Linked DNA regions of Notamacropus eugenii. The protein of the gene in region 1 interacts with the protein of each later gene in a pairwise test. Links are inferred from orthologs where the notes say so. Each region holds a gene or a part of one and is shown on either strand. Other genes may lie near its edges.

What was found.
Region 2: the proteins of KIFC3 (region 1) and PSMB1 interact in binary tests that used the Homo sapiens proteins (3 or more experiments, as listed by UniProt). The two-hybrid records come from large-scale screens. The link is inferred for Notamacropus eugenii from reciprocal best matches to the Homo sapiens genes KIFC3 and PSMB1.
Region 3: the proteins of KIFC3 (region 1) and MID2 interact in binary tests that used the Homo sapiens proteins (3 or more experiments, as listed by UniProt). The two-hybrid records come from large-scale screens. The link is inferred for Notamacropus eugenii from reciprocal best matches to the Homo sapiens genes KIFC3 and MID2.

What each region holds. Positions count from the first base shown.
Region 1 is NC_092872.1:716,303,832-716,311,727, reverse strand, and holds the start of KIFC3 (kinesin-like protein KIFC3), read right to left. Parts: upstream 3,068-7,896; 5' UTR 2,929-3,067; intron 2,333-2,928; exon of another isoform or gene 2,180-2,332; intron 1-2,179. Other genes in the region: uncharacterized protein, read left to right, coding at 3,146-3,476, 3,880-3,990, 5,778-5,849. UniProt on the Homo sapiens protein: Minus-end microtubule-dependent motor protein. Involved in apically targeted transport. Required for zonula adherens maintenance.
Region 2 is NC_092873.1:267,358,222-267,365,425, reverse strand, and holds the start of PSMB1 (proteasome subunit beta type-1), read left to right. Parts: upstream 1-4,110; 5' UTR 4,111-4,299; coding exon 4,300-4,421; intron 4,422-7,204. UniProt on the Homo sapiens protein: Non-catalytic component of the 20S core proteasome complex involved in the proteolytic degradation of most intracellular proteins. This complex plays numerous essential roles within the cell by associating with different regulatory particles.
Region 3 is NC_092879.1:28,910,102-28,917,750, reverse strand, and holds the start of MID2 (probable E3 ubiquitin-protein ligase MID2), read right to left. Parts: upstream 3,095-7,649; 5' UTR 2,988-3,094; intron 1-2,987. UniProt on the Homo sapiens protein: E3 ubiquitin ligase that plays a role in microtubule stabilization. Mediates the 'Lys-48'-linked polyubiquitination of LRRK2 to drive its localization to microtubules and its proteasomal degradation in neurons.

The DNA of each region.
Region 1 (7,896 bases):
AAAATTCAGCAGCGCTGGATATGAGAAGTCAAGAACCTCAAAGAATCAAGAATAACTTCAAAGTTTTGAGCCAAGAGAACAAGACCGTCCCCTACCCAACAACCTTCCTAGACCTTTTTAGCTTAATGATGTCCTGGACCAACTTTCAGCCTAAGACAAGTACCGGGCCAGAAACCTAACCAACATGGGTGTGAATGTGCCCCTAAACATAGGCGGATCCCAAATCTGGTTGGAGGAGAAGGGACTAGAGAGATTCCTATCAGAGGCAGCCCAAGGCAGCAATCTGTATTCAGCATGCGGATGGGGCGCTGTGGAGGTCAGGGTAGGCTGGCCAAGCCATAGAGCCAACCCACGGCCTTGTTTCCAATTAGCCTCAGAGAGCCACTAGCCTGGCCTATTTCAAGGACACAATAAAAGACCAGCTACTGACGAGCAGGTTGCAAGAGTATGTACTCCTTGAGCTTAAGGTACTGATAAGCTGGGCTGTGGGGGAAGGGTTGGGGGAGGGTAGAGAATGTACTTTGGTCTAATGCTCCTGTCTTAGGAAGCCGAGATCTGAAATACGGACTTCAATATACTGACTCTGTCCATCTGGTCAAGGAAAAGGTCTAGACGAGTGTTAGAAAAATACTATTGACAAACAATTCTACAAGTTAAATACCTCATGTATGGATGTATGACTCTGGGCGAGTCACTTTTTGTGCCTGTTTCCTCACCTGCAAAATGTATTACAATAACAGCACCTACCTCACAGGGTTGTGGTAAGAATCAAACAACATATCACGTATAGCACTTTGCAAAACCTTAACATGCTATATTAATGCCAGTTTATATTATTATTAGGATATTATTATTCAACGTGTTAGACACCACAAAGACGGACAAACTATGTAACCTGCTTCTGAGGTTACAATCTAATGAGAAGAAAATCTGCAGAAATGAAAAGCTGTGATAAAACTACAGTATATTAAGTACTTTGACCTGGCTAGTCCACGTTTGTGGAGTTGGGTTCAGTTCTGGGTGCCAGACTTTGGTAAGGCCATTGGTAATCAGGAAGGCATTCTGAGAGGACCTTGAGTATATATACCATATAAGGATCAGCTGAAGGAACTGGGAGTGTTTAGGCTAGAGAAGGGGAAGACTCAGTGGCAAAGCAATGGCTCTTTTTCAAGTATCTGAAGGCCAGCTATGAAAAGAAGGATTCAGCTTGGTCTACTTGGCCCCAGAGGGCAAAAATGGGGGCACAGTGTGTGGAAAGAGGCAGATTTAGGCTTCATATAAGGACAAAACTTCCTAGTTAGGACTATCCAAGAATGGATGGGCTGGGTTGGGTGGGAATAGGTTCTCCCCGAATAGAAATCTTTGGACCTTAAAGGTCGCGGAAGACCTTTTGCTGCAGGAAGGATTCTCAGGTACATGGTGGACTCAGTGGACTGCCTCTATCTCTAAACTCCTTGGATTCTGTGTAGTGTGAAGGAGAGGCCAGAAAAAGATCCCCTTCACCTGGTTAGGGCCAGGTAAGGAAGGTTTCCTGGAAGAGGTGACACGGGGCAGGTCCTTGAAGAAAGAAATGCAATTCCAAAGATGGGCAAGAGAGGAGGAAGAGTCCAGATATGGGAGATGGGGAAAGCAAAGGAACAGAAATGGGAGAAAACAAAATTTATAAAGAGACCTAGAGAAATTCAACTGGACTGGAACACAGTACATGAATAAAGATCAAACAACATTCATTTAAGATAATGCTGGAAGGGTAGATGGGAGCCAGATTATGGAGGCTTTGAATGCCAAGGTAAGGAATTTATGCTCTGATAGCCACTGAAGTTTTTTGAGTAGAGAAACTGCTATGGGCAAAGGCACATATCAGGTGGGCAGTGGAATTAGTGGGACAGTTTGGAGAAGATTAGAAGAATGGAAACCAGGAGATTATTATAATAGTTTAGACAGAAGAAATAAGGGCCTAAACTGGGGTGGTTTCGGTGGGAGTGGAAAGGAGGGGATGGAGATATATGGTGGAGAAAATGCAGTCTTACAAAAGACAGACGGGACTAGGCAGAAAGGAGACCCCCGATCGCAAGGCATCTGCCTGCATAAATTCCAAACGGACAGATCCCCTCCTTTGAAAACAGTCTCCCAGAAGACTCTTCACCTGGCCCTCTTGCATTTAAACCTTAATAACTAGCCTCCGTCCTGGTAGCTGCCCAAGAAAATCGAAACACGTCGTCTGCCTGGGACCCCTCTTCAACGCGTCCCCGGGATGGACAGGGAGCTGAGAATGCGGAGCCCCCAGCTCAGCACCAGTATTTCTCCAAGTCCATCAGAGCCTCATTTGGAGGTGTGCACCCCCCACCCCCCAGAGGCAGGCTGCCTCACTCTTCCACTCAGATCACCCAGGAGGGTCTCAGTTATCGATCCCCACCTCTCCCCACCCCCAAGGTACACAGAGACCAGGCTAGTCCGCCCGACTCAATCCAGTAAGGGAATTTAAACCTTGGAATCTCGGTAGAGAAGGCTTTAAAGCAGAAATGAGCCCCGCCCCTCTCTGCCCAACTGCAGCCCTAAGCTTGCAGCCAGGAAAATCCAGGGGAGACTTATCTCGGGGTTGTTTTCAAAGCACATCCCTTCCCCCGCCCCCCGAAGCCCCTCCAGTCTCAGGCCGCTGCAGCTACCTCCCTCCAGCACCCGGGTGTGCCGGACCGGGATCCCCTAAGGGGGATCTCTGGCAGCCAGAGCGGGGTGTCCTGGGGATGCAAAACTGGGCAAGGGAAAGGGATCCCCAGGCGTAGCCCCTCCGGCGTGAGAAGAGAGAGCTGAGCGGGAGCCGAGCTGGAGACTGGAAAAGCCTGAAGGTGGGCTTCCAGATGGAGCTGGGGGGCCCACGTCCCACTCCCCTCCCCCCCAAAGGCGGAGGCATCAGGGCCAGTGACTCACCTGGTCCCCGCTGCCCAGCCCGGGGTCCCTCCGGGGTGGCAGCTCCCCTGCCCCCTGGGGAGGAGCTACAGGGCACTGCCCGCTCTGGCATCCCCGTGGCCGCCCGGCCGCCCGGTACGAAGCTGGAATGTCACACTGTCGTCTCTGACCTCCCCCCCCACCCCACCCCCTTACACTTTCCACAGGAAATGATTAACTCGAACGGCTGCTGGTTCCCATGGTAACCGGCTCTCAACACTTGGAGACATTCTTCGGTGCTGGAGGCGGGCAAGCAGCCAGAGGCTGGGGAGAAGAGCTAGACAGGGGAGCTGGGGGGCTCCTTGGGTCGTCCAGGAGCCCTCCCACCAGGTACGGGGCCGGAGTAGCGGGCACACAAGTGCCTGCATGCGCGCTCACGCAGGCACATGAGTGCACACCCATGCACACTCGTATGGACGCGTGCACACACGCACAGAGCAGGGCTGATTCTCAGAACGTCCCCTTCTCCTCGGTGCCCCCACCCACCCCCCCAACCCCCGAACCAAACTCGTGCCAAGGCGTCAGAGCAGGTAAGGAAGAAAGACACAAGCCCCTTTGACCTCTAAAGGGAAAAGGGGGAGGACTGACCCCCAACCACTCCTGGACCAGCCGAGGGGTCCCAAGAGCAGCTATTCCCCTTATCAAGCCCCCAGACTAAATCTGCGGCAGAAGGAAGGGATTAGGAGGACCTTAAACCCAGGAGACAAGAATGACAGCTGACCTTAGGAGCCCCAACTCAGGGAGCCATTGTTCTTTGTCTCCTAAACAGTGCCGGCATTTTATTCTGGAGAGAGCAGCAATATTTCCCCTCTGGGGTGTGGAAGGAGGAGAAGAAAGAGACTTCACATGTAGCCTGAATGATGATTCTACTGGAGATAGAGTGGGGGGGGGGGGGGGGAGGGATGGGCCTAGTGTCCCCTCTTTGCTTGCCAGGTATAGAAGACAGAATAAAAGACCTAGAAGATGCTGAGAGTCACCCACTTCAAGGCTGGTTTTGTCCGCTGCTGCTGCTGCTGCTGCTGCTGCTGCTGCTGCTGCTGCTTGGTAGGAGAGAGAATTGTCTGGATTTGGGCCCTGGGCTGAAAGTCAAGAATCTTGATCAAAGCAAAGTCCTGCCTAGACTGCAAATTATTTTAGCCATCAGAGCCTCTGTTTTCTCAAATGGAACATAATTTGTCTATTTAGAAAACATAGTAAATATACTTGAAGAGGAGGTACCAAATGTCCAGCATTTGCAGGTTCATGAGCATTCGCTCTTCTGACAGATTACACCTCCTCTGAAACTTAGTAAGTGAGCTTTGAGAGTTTCAAAGACCAAAAAATGTTTCAGCCTACCTCCAACTCAGAGATGGGCTCTCCAGATTTAGCTAGGTTGCTCTCAGATACAAGAGACAGACAGTCTCCAATTTTTTAAAAGAATTATTTATCTATTTTCACATACAGCTAATATCTTTCTTTCCCACTGTCCCCCTCACCCCGCAACTGGACAGTTAAAAAGGAAAAATAAAACCTATCATAAATATACACAATCTGCAAAAACAAATCCTCATGTTAACCAAGTCCTAAAAGATATGGCTCATTGTATATTTTAAATGGGGCACTCTGTGGCCCAATGGATAGAGTGCCTGGCCTGAAGTCAGGGAGACTCCTCTAAGTTCAAATCTGACCTCAGATACTTCCTAGCTATGCGACCCTGGGCAAGCCATTTCACTCTGTTTGTCTTGGTTTCCTCATCTATAAAATGAGAAGGAGGAGAAAATGGCAAACCATCCTAGTATCTTTGCCAAGAAAACCCCCAGTGGGATCACAAAGAGTCAGACACAACTGAACAGCAACACATTTTAAATCCAACCCCTCTCTGGCAGGAGGTAAGTGGCCCACAGTATCTTCAGTCCTTTGGGCTCCCATTCAAAGTCTTTTTCAAATGGTAGCATCTGCTCAGGCATCTGTAATCTTTGGGAACTCCTGGTCACCTCCACATCACAGTAAAACATTTGAGCCAGTCTAGTAGACTGGGAGTGGACTCAAAACACTTATTGCTGAGGATCCTCCACAAAAGTTCTCCCACCAGGTCTGATCAGGACCCACAGATGACTCTGACTTCTCACAGACAATGACAAGGAACTATCCACCAACTCCTGCAAGTCCACTAAAGGTAGAAATGGTACAAGTACAGGCCTAACAATAGACTGCATGATTCTCATCTGAGGACCCAGATAGCTAAATTCTCTGAGGTTGCCACTGAGTCATGGATTTTTAAGCCACAATGACTGAAATATTGTAAGGAATCTCATACATTTTCTTTTTAAAAAATTTTTTTTCCTTTGTAATCCTATGTATTTTATTTTAAACATTTAAAAACTTACTCTGAAGAGTCCATAGGCTACACTAGACTGCCAAAGGGACCCACCTCTCTCTCCCTTCCTCCCTCTCTTTGTTTCCTCATTCTCTCTCTCTCTCTTGTTTTCTCTCTCTCTCTCTCTCTCTCTCTCTCTCTCTCTCTCTCTCTCTCTCTCTCTCTTTCTCTCTCTCTCTCTCTCACACACACACACACACACACACACACACACAAACAGACACACAAATTTAAGAACTCTGGTCCAGAAGGTTCAAATTAGGTGAGTTTTTTGTTCTAGAAGGATCCCCTGATAGGGAATTCCTCTGCCAATGCAGGTCTTCACCGTCTTAGCAGTTGAGAGTTAGCCAGACCTCTGAGGAGCCAAGAGAATTGTCCTGAGTCCCAAAGTCGGTATATCTTCCTGTGTCTGAGGCCATTTCCATCCATTGCTCCATGACACCCCTCCTTTTTGTTTTGTATCTCTTTTTATTAGGTGCCATGCTTTCTGAGAGTAAAGCTTTATGGAAGGAGCCCTTGGCTGGTGTGATTGAAAGAACTGGACCTGGTACTTTGGGGAGTTATCTTTAAAGTCCAGCACTAAAGACCTAGCTGTATTTGGGAGGTTTGAAATTTATTCGGATAGCATTTCTACTATTATTAGTATCAAAGAGTTTTTAAGAAGCTAGGTAGAAAGGAAAAGAAAGACAAGGAAGGGGGAGGGAAAAGCATTTTCTGAATCCAAATTAAGATGGAATCTGGTTGGAAATGCTGAAAAGAGATATTTCACACGTTTTACTTTTTGTCTGTATTTTTCTGGAGGTGAGCTTCACTAGAAAGTATAACCTAATGGCCATCACTACACCAGGCATCTCACTAATGGACATGTTGGGGATGGGGGTGGAACTTGTCCTCTTCCTTATAATTACCTTGGAAGAACATGGCAAATCCCAGGGCACATGTTGCTAGAGCCAAGAATTCTATTTGGGGCAGTTCAGAAGACCTGGTTCACAGGATGCCAATGCTCACTTTTCCTCATTGCCACCCCTCCCATTCATAGACATGATGCCCTCATGTAGTTAATAGATTAGTTCATCCCTAAGTGGGAGAGGTCTGAAGTTTGAGTGGGTCATCACACAGGCAGCTGAGGGGCACAGCAGATAGAAGACCGGACCTGGAGTCAGGAAGACCAGAATATATAAATATATATTTGCAAAATGGAGAATTGAGGTCATGTTCCAAATAATTTATGTCCAAAAACTTAACCACTTTCACTTGAAATATATCAAGTTCATTGCCTCATGTACCCCCTCTTCGTGAGTAAACACTTCTGTTTGCTGTAAAACATACAGTTCATTTGCCCACTGAGCTCTCTGTTTCAACGGGAAATCTCTACTTTTCCCAGCTCTGTGGCCCTTCTATCTGGAGGCTCCAAAGATGTGCCTTGACAGTGGAGTCTTAGGAACAGGAGCTAACTGGCAGATATAATATTGAAGGTCAACCGACCTTGGTTTTTATCAGTTCCCAGAGAGAAAAATGAAAGGAATGCCAAAGCGTGCATTCATGTAGATAGGTGCTTTAAGCAATGAGTAATAAAAAGATTTAACAAAGATAATCTGGGGCGGAGAATACAGGCTAGAAAAGTAAGTAACTCAACCAGTCTATTTTCCTTTCTTGGCCATTCGGAATCATACTCCTCCCAAGGAAAATCTGAGCAGTAATCTCGGTGCTAACCCTCAGCATTTCCGTGCCCTTCTTTCCTTTCCCCAGAATGATTTGTAATGCAGTGTTCATACCAATGACACCCATTATTTAATGAATGTTAGTTCCTCATTCTTTCTTTCTTTCGCATTCATTCCTCTCCATCTGCTGCTCAAATCTAGCTGAAGATATTTTTAACCAATCTGCTTTTAGTGACAATTTACAGTTTTGCCTTGGATTAAAACTCTTATCTCCCCTCAAGGCCCAACGCAAGGGAGACTACCCAGAGTCTTCCATGGACTCTGCCCAGGTCCCTTCAGTCAAAGAGATTTCCCCTTCCAGAATTTCTCAGAGAATTTTATATGTTTCTCTTTGGTTTGCATTTATCACACACAGCACAGTGCCAAGTATATAATAGATACCTGGTTGATTGACTGATTATCATATTCTGACCTGTCATGTGTTATAATACAGTATGTATTCGTACTGTATCCACATTAAATCACCTTTCCTTGGCCATCTTTGTACCACCAGAACCCCACCCTAGTATTTCCCAACACAGAAAGTATATACAGGATATGTACAGTCAGAGACACTTAATTAATTAATAATTAGGATGTTTCCTTATGGTCTGTTCTTCAAGATTTATGATCGTAATGGTATTTTGTATCATTGACAAATTATTCCATTCAGAAAGTTGATCAGTCAACAAGCATCTATTAAGCTCACCTTTCCCAGTCTTCTTAGCCTCCATTCTCCTCTACATAATCTACCATTCTGTCAACACTGGTCTCCCGGTTGTTGCTCATATGTGATATTCCACCTCCCACTAACTTGCTTTTATCCAGCTTTCCCCCTTGCTTGGAATGCAGTCCCTCCTCATTTATGCCCCCTGGCTCTCTTCAAGACCCATC
Region 2 (7,204 bases), on another chromosome or scaffold:
CGGCCTTCCTAACCTCCCGGCGCGCCGAGTGACGCCACTTCCGCCATCTTTCCGTTTAGCTTCACTCTCGCCTGCGGCCATTGACTTATATAGCCATGTTCAGTGTGGGCAGTCATATCACTTCCGGAAACGCTCCCACGTGACTGGGAGTGGGCGGTGCTAGGGAGGTGTGTGGGCGGAGCTGGTAGCTAGCTTAGCTCTTGTGGTGCTGCAGCCTTGGTCTCTGGAGCGAGGCTTGAATAGCCGCTACTTGTGGCACTTGGGTCTTTCTGGAGAGGCGCGTGTTCACGGCACCCATTCCCATCAGTTGAGCGGGGCCCTTGTCACTCTGGGTGCACTTTGCCTGGGACTGTGGTTTTCAAACTTTTTGTTAGCCACACCCCTCCTAAAATGTCTTTATTACTACTCCACCCCCTCCTTTTTATAAAATAATCAGGTAAATAATTGCCATTGTAAAGGTTTTATGAAGATAAAATTAAGGAAAAAAGAAATCAAAAAGTTAAAAATCCCTAAGTAAACACTAACACATAAAAATAAATCCCATAAAAAGCGCGTAATTGCCTCAATTCAGGTTTTATACAAATAAAATTAAGAAATCACTGCTCCACCCCACTTCTTTTCATAGAATAAGCAACAAAACAGTTCTCTGTAGGTATCTGGGGGCAAAAGAGATGGGCTTGGCCCGGGCCTTTTGTTGGTAGTCAGCTTATCCAAGATCCCCAGAGTTTTCTACCCTGAGACCGCCAGCCAGTTCCAGTTTTACGTGCAAAGAAGCTAAAGGCTTCCTAAACTCACATGATCGTAGGCAAGCTTAGACACATCCACCTCAAAGTTAACGTTTGGTCACTTTGAAAAAGGCTGCCAGGGACCCGGTCAAACGCTCACGTGGCAGTGTTGGTGGATTGGGAAGAAAGAACATAACCTATTCCTCCACCATCTTCATGAAGAATCTAGAGATAGCTTATTACTTGTCCAATGGAAGAGTTGAAGCAAAGACACTGAAGCTGTTTCTTCTTTTAACTAATATGGTATCTCACCCCCTACTTCTGTCATGGTGGCATGGAGAGAACTAAGAAACCCTTCCAAGGTCATCCAGAATACCTAGTTATTTCAGTGCCAAGTTACTCCATGACCAGAAGTAGACCCCAAAGTTCCCCACTCTGGTCAACTAGAGGGCAGCTAGATGGTTCAGATGACAGGGCACCAGGCCTAGAGTCATGGAAACCTAATTTCAAATCTAGCCTCAGATACTAACTGTGTGACTCTGGACAAGTCACTTAACCTGGTTTGCCTCAGTTTCCTCATTTGTAAAATGAGCTGGAGAAGGAAATGGCAAATCATTTACCAAAAAACCCAAACAGGGTCATAAAGGGTCAGACACAACTGAAACTGCTGTCCAACAACTTGGTCAATCAGAAAGAAGGGCAGTTCTGAGGACTGTTCATGGGATAGCTCTAATTCAAATTTCCCTAGCCCCAAGTATTTATTGATAAACTCTTTTATATTTTGTATCCTTTACTCAGATCTCTCCCTCCCCTCAACATGGGAGTCAGTTTAAATTGACTAGATTCATCAAGGTAGGAGGGCTGACCTCAGATCAAGTCAGATTTCTCTATTGGTTTGCTCCCATTTAGAAATTTCCAGCAAAGCTAAGACTTGGATCATGTTTAGGGTCGTCTCTTGGTTATCAAATGTGGAACGGTTTTTGTATGTCCTTAATAGAAACTGAATATACACAAAGGACTCAGAGTTAGACATAAATAATAAAACACTCAAATATTCTATGAGAGATGATGTTTAAATCCTTGGGAACTGGTGAAATTACCAAGTTTCTATGCAGATGACTTGCAGACCTATATATCTAGTGCCATTCATTGCCCTGATCTCTGATCTTGCATTGCCAATAGCCTATTGAACATTGCTTTTAAAAAATTATATTTCCTTTTTTTTCAACAAGTAAAATTCCATCTTCTCTCCTTCTTTGAGGATGAAAGGAAGAAAGCTGTTACAAACAAGTTGTTACATGGTACAAACATGTAAAGTCAAACAAAACACATAGCTGTATGGGCCACATCCAAAAAACCTTTGTTTTATTCTGCACTCTGAGCCCTTCATCTCTCTATCAGAAAGTGAGGAGCATACGTAATTGTTAGTACTCTGGAATTGTAGTTGGTCATCACACTGATTAGCGTCCTTAATTCTTTCAAAGCTGTGTGTCTTTACCATGTTGTTGTCATTGTATGCTTCATCTATTCCAGGAATTCTGGTTAAATTTTTTTTTGGCCTATGCTGCATTTTTCTTTGTAGTTGTTTTGAGGTAATTTTCTTCTGAGTTTGTCTTCAGCATCCCTATCACCATAAAAACTCTTCATGATGGGATTTTTGTTTGTTTATTTTTCAAGCTTCCTTTCTGACTTTAGACTTAATTTTAGGGCCAAGATCTGTACACTTTTGGAGGGAATATCTGAGCTGCTTCTACTGCTACTTTCTTGGCATATTGAAATGTTGTGTTACTTCATAATCTCAGGAACAACTCAGGCTTGGAGTTTTCAATACTCCTAAAATTGTCTGATTCAGTGCAAAGTCTGATAGCTGCCTGCTTAGTCTGACCTCTGAAACTTCCTGGTGTGGGTAGTAGTAGATTACTGCTGGACTCAGCTATTATCAGCCATCTGAGAAATGCTGCTGGTTGAGAGTAACAGAATTGTAGGCTGGCCTTAGCTCTGGAATTCCTGCCTTGGTTATTACTCTGCAAGTTTCAGGGTGGGCTAGAAGCTAGAACTGAGACCCCTTTCTCCTCCTGGGATCTGAGCCACACTGCTGCTGCTTGCTTCTCATCTCTTTATACAATGTCCAGCTTCTCACCCTCCCCAGTTACCCCTTATAACCACTTTTTTAAAAGAGGAAAAGAAAAAAATTCAGCAAAATTGACATAAAAAAATCAGATATTTTATGTAATATTCTTCACTGATCAGTTACCCCAATGCAAAGGAATGTGTGTGGGGGGGGGGAGGGGGCAAGGAAATGCCTTTTTATATGTTCTTTTTGAAGCAAGGTTGGTCTTTATGATTTTGTACCAATATGGTAATTTTCACAAACTTTTTTAGAACTGGAAGGGACCCCAAAGATCATCTCTTCTCACCCTCCCCAGTTTCATGGAGGAGAAAATTGAGTCTGGGAGGAATTAAGCAAATCAATCCAAGGGCAAAGCTGGTACTTTATTTATTTTAGCTTTTACAAAAGAATATTTTTATGAAGAAGATATCGGAGAAATAAAAGCACAAACCCCTCCAAAACCAAAAGTACACTGTTCCGGACCAGCTCAGTCGCTGAAGAGTTATTAAACATTTTCCCCACCAAGTGCACTTTACTCGCAGAATACAATGTCTTGGCTGCCAGGCCATTCCATTGTTGGGTTGAGTGAAACAGACCAACCCTTAGTGCTGGCTCCTGATGAAAGCTGGTACTTTATCTATTTTTAAAATTTATTTATTTGTTTTTAGTCTTCAACATTCACTTCTATAAACTTTTGAGTTTTGAAAGCTGTAGTTTAACAGCAGGCTCCGAGCTGGATCTGGAGGCAGAGGGCCTGGGTTCGAATTTTGCCCTTCCTTACCAGTCAGACCCTGGGCAAGGCACTCTGGACCTCACATCTTCATCCAAGAATGGGGGGTGGGAGGGAACCTCTCCATCGTCTGGGTAACTCTCCAACACCGGAGACAGGTGAGAAGGTGCGATTGCGTCGGTAGAGGGAGCTTGCTCCTCCGGGAGCTCCCAGAGCCAGCGTCAGGAGAGGTCAGTAGGTGCCAGGGCTGAACCTTGAACCCGGGACTCCCTTTCTCCAAGGACAGCTCTTCAGCGGAGGCCTCTGGGCTTGTGCTTGTTAAGGGCAGCACTTGAACGCAGGACTCAGAGGTCGGTTCTGTATTTTTACATGGTTTGAGCTAGTAAAGCTTCCCAGAACAGGTAAGGCCAAACACCTGCTTCGAGCCCAGGACACTGGCGGTGAGTCTTCTCTAGCTCCGAAGGGAGATCCTCCCTGAACCCCTCCCTCTCACGTCCCCCCCCCCCCCCCCACACACACAGCAAGGAGCCCCAGACAGCGCTTCCGAACCGCAGGGGGCGACGTGCCCGCAGGAGCGGACCATAGAGTGTAGAGGAGCTAGAGCGGCTTTGCCGGAAGCGGAGCCGGGCGGGGGCGGGATCCGGAAGTAACTTAATTTCCGGCGTGGCAGCCATCTCTCGGTGAGACAGCAGCCAGAGGACCGTTCCTGCCGCCGCCGCCGCCACCGCTGCGGGATGTTGTCTGCTGCCCCCTTCGCCGCTGCGTACCCGGGGCTCGGGACGGAGCGGGAGCTGGAGCCTCATAGCAGCGCGGGCCCCGTGCAGCGCCGCTTCTCGCCCTACGCCTTCAACGGGGGGTAAGGGCTCGCTGGGCCTCCTGGCACCGCCGCATTCCTCAGTGGAGGCCGGGCTGCGGACCCGGCGTCGCTTTCACTTTCGATTCGCTCCGGCGCCCGGATCCTGAGCCCGATCCCCTTCCCCGGGGACTTCAGGCCTGCCTTCAGCTTCCCTCTGTGCCAGTCGGCCCACTGGCCTGCGTTCATTTGCAGAAGGTCGTGCCAGGCTTTGTCTGTGGCGCCGTCTGCCCCTGCTCCCCCTAAAGAAGCAGCTTGCGCGTGTACTTGGCCGTAGTCTGTAAGCTGGCTGGGAAGTCAGGATCCCTGGATTCTAGCTTTGACGCTCTGTCCATCCCCGCCCCATCCCCCACTCTGAGCGTCTGCAGCTGTGCATTGGGGGAGCCCCTCTCCAGACCCCCATGCATGCAATCTCGTATCCTCATCAGAAGGGTCTGTGATGCTTCAAATGGGTTAGCGTGTTTTATAACAGATTTTACACGTGCTACTTTTAACGGGAAAAGGATGGAGTGAGATTGTATGGCAAGGTTGGTGTCAGCGCTTTTAAAAGAATTGCAAGAACGATAGAATTTCAGAACTGGAAAGGACCGCTTCGTTATTGTGGTGCGTATTGCACGGTGGCCTGGTGTAGAGGAAGGGCTTCAGGCCTCTGACACCTATCAGCTGGGTGGCCCTGGGCAAGTCACTTAGCCAGTGCTTTAGGGGATTTTTAAGACCATACGTTCCAGTTGGTGGAGGGAGTTTCTTCATCCGAGACTTCCTATACCAATGAAGTCACAAGTGAAGAGTCCCTCTTTCTTTAAGGCTGCTAATTATAGCACTCATTATATTGCCCTTAAATACAATCTCTTTAAATCCAATTGGAAGCTTCAAGCTCCAGTAAATGTTATGTGTCTACATGCACTCATATATTTATAACTTACATAGGGTTGATGTGAAGTCTTACAAGGATCTATTGCCATGTTGTAGATACAGGAACTGAGCAGAGATGCTAAGGATTACTATGGTCACATGTCTAATAAAAAGGGAGTCCAAATATGAAGGAAGGTTCTCTGACTCAGCACTATTGCCACTATAACTGTGATATTCTATTTAGGGCTTGTACAGTTAATATAAAACATAAATCAAAGCAGTGGCTAAGCTTTTCATCCCGACAAGTTTCTGTGTGTATATTTTTCTCATTTTGTATGTCATCAGATATATATTTTTTCAGTCAGAAAAAATGAGTGTAATTAGGTCGTTAGGATTTTGAAAATATTGTTAAGTTTTTCTTGTGTATATTTTTTGTCCTTTTCATAACTGCAGTTCATTTTTTTTTGGTAGCAACATGGTACAGTAGAATCCAATACTAAATATCAAATATATTTGAATCCAATACCAAAAACCAGACTTATTTATATTAGAGGTCAGATTGTCTTCCCTGAATAATTGTATGTTTCAAATGAGATATAAAAGGGTCATAGGATTATAGATTTAAAATCAGAAGGAATGTTAGATACCGTGTAGTTCAACTCTGTCATTTTACAGATGCAGAAAACAAGACTGAAAGAGGTTAATCACTTGTCCATGGTCACAGAGGTAATAAGTGTCAGAGGTGAAATTTGAACCCAAGGTCTTTGAGACTCCAAGTGTAGCACATTCTATCCAGTAGGCTGACAGTTCTCAAAGTTTTTGGTGTCAGGATTCCTTTATGGTCTTAATTGTGGAAACTGCCTCCTCTTCCTCTCCCTTTCCTCCCAACTTTTATTTATGTGTTTTATTTACATGCACACAAACACACCCACCCACTCCCTCCTTCCCCCCTCCCCCCCACCTCTTGTCTAAAGAAAGTGGTTTTGGGCTGGCAGATTCGCTGAAAGTGTCTTGGGTAATCCTACAGGGGTTGTTGGATCACTCTTTTGAGAACCGCTGCATTAAACACCTCTGTTTCTAGATATTCTTTATGGTGACTGATAAACCTGCCCCCTAATATCAGCATTATAAAAGGATTCCAGTGTATTTCTTAAGGTCTGATATATTAACACTTTGCCATTTGATTTTCATAACTACTGCTCTTGAAGGCTATTAATGATCACTTAATTGTCAAATCCAATGATATTTTTTCAGCCTTCTTCTCCTTCATGCCACTGTTACATTGGATATACTGCTAGTCATCTTTTCTTTAAAACTCTACCCTTGGTCTCAGTGGCATTATTCTATTCAGTTATCCTTTCTGCTTTTTGGGCTATTCTGTCTCTGCTTTGTTTCTGTTCCCTAAGTTTGGGAATACCCCCTACCCTTCAGCTCAATTATTGATCCTTTCTACTCATTCTGTGTTCTCTTTATTAAGTTCATGAGTGTTGAATTAAGCCTTATGATAACATTATACAAACTTGTGCAACAACACATCTCTAAATACCTTAACTCTCCAACTGACTTGGTAACAGCACTACACTTTGCTTACTCTGCAAAGTAACTTTGAGCCTTATATTGTGATCAATTCTGAGGTACTCTTTAGTATGACTCAGATGTTTACAAACTCAAAATCCAACTCTGTGACTGAACTTTAGGCCTGTGTCTCTATTGTTCTTGATATTTGGGCATTTGACCAAAGGTTTTCTACACTGTAAAAGGGAGTAAGGGTTAGATAGACTTTATTTAGAATTATTATACAATGAAACAAAGCATAATGCTTGGCAGATAATAACTCCTTAATAAATGCTTGTTGCCTTTCACTGATAGGTTACTTTCATGGATAGAGCACCAGTGCAGGAGTCAGGAGGACCTGAGTTCAAATCTCACCTCAG
Region 3 (7,649 bases), on another chromosome or scaffold:
GACTCGTGTGATACATAGGCCCGAGGCAAGACTTATATGAGGAACCCAGCCAGAAGAACAACTAACTACAAGAGCCACTGTCCTCTCCCTTTCCCATTCCCAGCCTCTGCTGTCCAGAGTAGATAAGACAAATACCCACTCCACCCCAACACCAACAAACCCCAAGACCGTGGCAGCAGATGGATCAGTTTGAGGCTCAATAAATGTTGTGACTCATTATAACGACATGCTAAAGATGCCTAAAATGTGCATGCCAAAAACTACTTATGTTGCTTTCCAATACAAATGAGGTAGCTGCCCCCACATAGGTTCAAAATGGGTGAGGCTCTATTTCCAAATGACTGACTCAGATAAGCCATGGTAGAGCACCTTAAAATCATTTAGGCTATGACTGAAACTGATTAGCATTCACCAGAATGAATCCTAAGGTTCCTGAGTCCTGCTTCCCCCCACCCCTTCTGTTAGCTTGAAGAAAATCAGGCTTGTAACAAAAACAAGGTAACGAGTAAATTTGGCATCTAGAAGACCAATAACAGCAAGTGAAGGTTTTTATCTTGCCAATGTCCCGGCTTTACTCATTATATAACCAGCTTTCTTTCCCTATGTACAGAACTGGCTCTGGACTCAGAGTTCTAGCTCCAGAGGCTGCGAGGGACCTCAGAGGCCAACAAGTGTAACCCTCTCATTTTACAGAGGAGGAAGCTGAGGCCCAGGGAAGATGAAGTGACCTGTCCAAGGTGACCCAGAGAGTCCTTGGAACTATGCATTCATACATATATACATAATCACACAGCTTTCATACCGATCTCTTCCTCCCTCCCCCAACACACACACCTTCCACCTCACAAATACACCCATCCACACACAAACCAAGGAAAGACACTCAAAAGAAGAGTAGAATGGGAGGGAAAGGATCAATGGGCTAGGTGGAGAGGGGAAAACTCTGGGTGAGTGGAAGAGTCCAAACATGGAACGACCTCAGAGGCTGTTGAGTTCAAATGCCTCATTTTACAGAGGGAGAAACTGAAACCTAGGCAGGGGAAGGGACTGGACCAAGGTCACACAGGTAATAAAGCATTAGAGTAAGAATTTAATCCCAGGTCCTCCATCTTGTGAAGGAATCGATACACTAATTCTGGAGTCAGAATACTTATATTCAAATCATACCTGTGATGCTATTTAAGACCTTGAGCAAGTCACTTCATCGATTTGGGTCTCAGTTGTAAAATGAAAGGGATATTGGAGATGAGCCCTGAGGCCCCTTTCAGTTTGAGATTAAGGATCCTGAGTGGAAACCCAATTTTCTGTCCTTTGAAGCAGACTGTTTCTTCAAGAATAAAGTTAAATTTCACAATATTGGGGCAAAAATGATTATCCCACTATATAAATGGGTATCCTAGAAAAGAAAGGTCTCAACAACTGCCCCGAGGTCACAAAGCAAAAATGGCATCCCAACTGGGATGAAATCTCTTATTTTCTCACCTTTCAGACCTGAATGACAACCTGGAAAACAGACTCCAGGTAACAAATCGGGGGCACTTTACATCATATTTTTCTAATAAACTAATTGGTCAGCCTGTGAGTCATGGAGGAGCCAATAACTGCTGATCCCCTTTGAAAATTTGCTAAGGAATCGGGCAGCAGAGGCTTAGGGTGGGAGAGGGAAAGGAAGCTTGAAGGCTGAAATCACCAGCTGCAGGAAAGACACTGCTCCTACCCCCCCCTCACCCCTACCCACACTCAGCCCCCGGCAGAGGGACAAAGCCATAAAAGAACCCTCCCTGGGCCAGTCACCCCTCCTCCATAGGGGAACACTGGGTAGAGGAAAAGGTGGAATAGGTAGTCTTCTCAGCTCAGCTGGGTCACCATTGGAATAAGAGCCAATAGAATGCATGCATGCATGCATGCATGCATACATACATACATACATACATAATCCCACTGCTTTCATATAGATCTTCCCCCCACCCCCCCAACACACACACCTTCCTCCTCACAAATACACCCATCCACACATGAACCAAGGAAAGACACTGAAAAGAGAAGGTAGAATGGGAGGGAAAGGATAAATGGGCTAGGTGGAGAGGGGAAAACTCTGGGTGAGTGGAAGAGCAAAAACTTCAGTCTCACAGAGGGCCATCCGCGGGAAATAGAGAAGGAAGGGCTCAAGTGGCCAGGCCCAAAGGGCCAGGCCCAGCCACTCCCGCCCCCCCTTCCACCCTGCCATCTTCAAGGTCCCCTTCCTGGCCAGCCACAGAGCGCCCCCCTTCCCCGGGCCGCCCCCCTAACCCCCCCTTCCTCCCCCAGCCAGTGCGCCATCGCCTGATGCTGGGATGGGCAGGGCAGGGCAGGGCCGGGACGGCAGGACAGGCAGAGCGGCCGGCAGGACAAGGTGCGGGGTAGGACTAGGCGGAAGAGTGAGGGGGGAACGTCAAGGCGAACGCGCCCAAGCAAGCCCCGAGGGGGCGTGCCCTCTGCCGGCCGCGTTGGCCACCCTAAGGAATGGAAGCAGGAGCCGGGCACAAGCGGGCACGCCGGGCGCACGCTGGCCTCCTTCCCTACCCTTCCCTCTGACTCGCCCGGCTGCCGCCACGGCCAAAGCTCCCGCCGCCGCCGCCGCCGCCCATCGGGGCGAAGTTGGGCAAGGGTGCCCCTGTCTCCAGGCGGGCCAGAGCGCCTTCCCAGCCGGCCGGCCGGCCGCCCACCCACGGGGCTCACCTGCAGGCGCTCCAGCGCCTCTCCTTGCCTTCCCCCCTTTGCCCATTCCCCGGGCGCCCCTAGCTCGCTTCCTTCCCTGCCAGGAGCCAGAGCAGGAGCGGGAGCGCTCCGCCAGCCCAGGGCGAGCCAGGGCGCGGAGAGCAGCCGGGCAGCGCAGAGCCGCCGCAAAGCGCCGAGAGCAGCCCGGCAGCTGGGCAGGGACCCAGCGACTGAGAGCGGCGGGCAGCCGCGGGCTCAGGCCCGGCCGGCCAGGGCGCTCCCCTACGTACCAGCTGATTCCAGCAGCCTGGCCTCCTCCGTCCTGTCATCTTGAAAGAAGAGACCCACTGAGCCGGGTGGAGGGAGAGGGAGCGTGCGGGTGTCTGTGCGCGCGCCCCGGCCCGGGGGAGGGCGGAGGAGAGCGTGCGTGCGCGCGCGCGCCTCTGCAGGCTTTGGAAAGACACAGTCCTGGACAGCCTCGGCAGCGTGCGAAATGCGGACGGAGGCAGAAATGTGTGCAAACTCCTTCCTGTTCCACCGTCCCCCCCATCCACCCCCGCCCCCCCCACTCTGTCGTTCCCTCCTCCTGATCCCCAGCCGCCCCGCCTGTTCCCAACGCAAACAGACCAACCACAACAGCCGGCGACACTTGTTGTCTGCCCAAGGAAAGGCCAGCTCTCCAGGGCCACCCACGTCCACAGACGAAGGCGCTCTACGCAAACCACCCCGGAGCAAAACAGAAATCAAGGACTGCGCAGACAGGGGCAAAGAATGGCAGGAAACCCAACCCAGCCCCGTCGTTATCTTTTCACAAAGGGAGAATGGTACTGAGTGGACTGTTGGCCCGGGGCCGAGCTGGTGGACAAGGAGCGGAGTCACACAAGGGCAATCGCTGTCTTCCACCATGAAACCAACCGAGCTGTTACCATGGGTACAACTGGGCAGGTGCAGCTAGATATTCTGGTGTAACAGGTGTCCAATACAGGCTGATAACAGCCAAGATCCCTGGCTCAGAGGACCTCTCCCCGCCACCCCCAAGTTCAAATACCACCCGGCACTACTTATGCAAGTCACTCTACCTCCTTGGGTCTCAGTTTCCTGTAAAATGGAGAAGAATGTGGAGGCAGTTGAAATAGATTGCCTCTGAGGTCCCTTCCAGATCTAAATCTATCTAAGCCTAAATCGGTGACCAGCCGTTCCCCATCTACCACAGTACTTGGGATGAGTCCTTTGTCCATCACCCAACACTCTATCCTTTACTGTTAGGAGTGGACTTCTCACCTCAATCCTGATTCTTACTCAATGCCACACCTGTGCTTTCCAAAGACAGCATCTTTCAGTCACTCAGACCTCAAGGCCATGGTTAAACAGTTTAATTACATTGGTAAAAAGTGTGGTCAACATCCAAGAAACAATGAGCACATATCATAAAATGTGCCAATCCACTCACCTACAAACTCTGATTCTCCAAGGCAAAGGGGAAAAAAAAATCCTCCCAGTCTGGACTCGATTTCCTCCCTCTTCAGCATCCCAAGGATAGTACAGGTCTGACTTCACAGCTTCCCAAGAATTGTTGTAGGGATATTCAAGGTTCCCTGGGTCATAGTTGCATAGACAAAGTCTTCTATCTACAATTTAAAGCCCTTCCAACTGTGGCCTCCTCCCACCTTTCCAATCTTTTTCACCTCCATGCATTGATCCAGCTACACCAGCCTCCTGACTATTCCATGCACATGAAATGCCACCTCCCAACTCCATGGAAGATGGTCTTTTGACTGGCCATCCCCCATTTCTTCAACAGTCTACCCCCAATCTCTGCCTCTTACCTTTCCTGGCCTCCTCCAAGACTCAATTCAACTTTTTACTTCTCTCACTGCCAGTACCTTCCCCCAGGAGATTCCTTCCCCTCTACTTGGTATATTTTAAATGCAAAGTTATTTGCATGTAGTCTCCCCCATTCAAATTGAGATCCTTGAAGACAGAGACAGTATTTTTGCCTTTTCTATGTTATCACCAACACTTAGCACATTCCTGGGTGCATACATGCACTTTCAGCATTGACTGACCAGCTCCAGGACCTCCTGGCTAACATTGCTCTGTCCCACCAGAGTTCCTTGACCCCCGTACGAGTGCCAACACTCACTTTCTTCCTCATCCATCACCACAGGGTCCAGCTAACCCAACCCCCAATGGGCAACAGGTAGTTTTCATGTAGTGTCTTTTCAAGGCCTCTCCATTTTCTGGGGCTATTTTGTTGCCTGATCTTTCAGCTTCTAGGAATAGGAGAGCTTTCCATCTCTCCTGTGTGTTCTCTGCCCTCCAAGATTCCTGAGCAGAGCTCTATCCTCTTGCTGGCTGACTATGAATTCAAGCATCCTCACAGCACTTGTTCCTTTTAGGGCTCCTGGGAGCTCAGGCCAGAATGAGGAAGTAGGCTTCTTTCAGAGGATCTTCCAGCCAAGCAATAGATTCAATCTCTCGTGCTTCTATGCCTTCTCCATTATCCCAGTCTCCAAAGAAGAAAGAAACAGGCAAATGGGGATTTGGCCCAAACATCCACAAACACAGAGTTAAAGGCTGGGGGGCCATTTTTGGTACCCCATGTACTAGGAATGTACTGCAGACTTCATTGACCTCTCAATGTCTCTACTTGGGTCACACCAAATCCTTACAAGGAAACCAAACACAGAGAAAAGCTTGAACACCTCTTGGCAAAACTGTAAAAACTTTCTGGTTCATGGTCAGATGCCTTTTACAAGAGGCCTTTCCCAGTCCCCAATGCTTCCTCAATAAAGTTATTTCCATCTACTTTGTATGTAATAAACATATACTTACAGTGTTGATGTACATGTCTTCCTCATCAGAATATAGAATCCTTGAGGCCGGTGTTGTTGTTCAGTTGCTTTTCAGTCATATTCAACTCTTCGTGACCCTGTTTGGGATTTTCTGGGCACACATCCTGGAGTGGCTTGCCACTTTCTTCTCCAGCTCATTTTATAGATGTGGAAACTGAGGCAAACAGAGTGAAGTGATTTGCCCTGGGAAGAGATCTCAGCAACCATCTAGTGCAACCTACCCATGAGGAATTCCCTCTATAACATACTTGACTGGGGTTGTCCAACCCTGTTGGGATACCTCCAGTAGGGGTACCCCATTGCACTTTGGGAAGGTTTTCCTGACACTGAGCCTAAATTCACCTCTTTGCAAGGTTTACCTTGCAAGATTCCTGGTTCTGACCTCTGAGCCTAAACACATAACAATCATGTTCTCCTTGAGTCTTCTTTTCTCTAAACAGAATGTTGCCAATTCCTTCAACTGTTTTTCATATCTTGGATGCAAGGCCCTTCACCATTGTCCCCACCCTTCCCTGGGTGTTCCCTCATTGATTGGTGTTCTTCTCAAACTATGCTGGCCAGAAATTAACATCATGCTCCACATGTAGTTGGAGCAGGGTAGAAGACAGAGGAGGAGTGTGTTGTTTTCTCTTTGCTTCTACGAATAAGTGTTTCAGAAGTTAGCAGGGTATAGTCAAAATGGAAACAAACTCCAGAGCCCTGAGTTCTAATTCTGGTTCTATATGTACAATTCTACAAGGAACTATATATAAAACACATGTCACTTCACTATTCCAACACTTGACCATTAAGACATCATTAGTAACTTTGGAGAAGGCAGTGTTGAATGAATGATTTGTTTGAAAACTGGATGATAGATAGTTCAGAAGAGAGTCACAAGTAAGGAAGTGGAAGTGCTGACTGTTGATAGCTTCATTAAGGTCACAAAAAGGAATGAGACATCAAGTTACAGTTCTATACCAGGGAATGGATGGATCAATTAAGGGGTTTTTTTTTTTGAGGATGAGGGAGATATGGTCATGTTTGGAGGCAGTAGGGAAGCTGGTAGGAGAAGATCATTGAGAGATTGGGGATGATAGGGCATTCTGCTGGAGAAGATGGGATAGAAAAGAACCAGTTGAACATGTAGAAGAGTTTGCTTTGGCAAGGAAAAGGGCCATCTCATTCATCACATAAGGCCTAAGTGAAAGAAAAGATAATGGCAGAGAGCATTTTGGTGACATGAGATGAAGAGGGAAGAAACTCTCAGCAACTGGTCTTCATATTTTCAGTAAAATAGGAGGTGGGGTTCTGAGCTAAGATGATGGGGGGGAGCCAAGATCTGCCTAGCCATTGACTGACTAGTCAATAAACATTTATTAAGCACCTACTATGTATCAGGAACTCTGATAAACCATAGGAGATTTGAGGAGGGATGAAAAGGTTGGAAGAACCACTTTCATGAGTAGGATAATGAGTTTATTTGAGAAGATTGACTTACAGCAGTGAGGTTACTTGAGGTTATATAACATTTGAGGTTATGCAACATAAATTTGTAATGGACCCAGTTAGTGGTTTCATGATTTTCTCTACCTTTGTTCTGTAGCATATAAGTAGGAGCAAAAGCAACAGATGCTGGACGTGATCCAAAACTGAGGCTCATAGAGTAATATTGGAAATATAAAAAAAGAGGGTTAAGGACTCCAAGGAAGAGAACAGAGTAGAGTTGAACTGGTTCACTAAGGGGTCAAGATAGGGAAGGGAAAAGAGTATAGCTGGAGTAGGGATGATGGCCTGAGAAAGAACTGAAGGGTTGAGAGATTGGAAGTGATGGCATGAACTAAGAACAAGGTTTGGGGTTGCGAAGAAGGAGAAGGGGGATGACTATAGACTGTGATCAGATAAAGGAATTTCAGTACTCATGAATAAAAGATGTGCCACACTTGTGAGTGATGGCAAGATCAAGGGTATGACCATCTCTGTATATGGCTATGGTGGGGTGGAGGAGTAGTTCATAGGAAATGAGTGAGTTAAGGAACTGAGAGAGCAAATTGTTTTTGTCTTATGACCACTGTTTATGGTGGGCTTTGGGGCAGCCCTTAAACCCTGCCCCTGCTC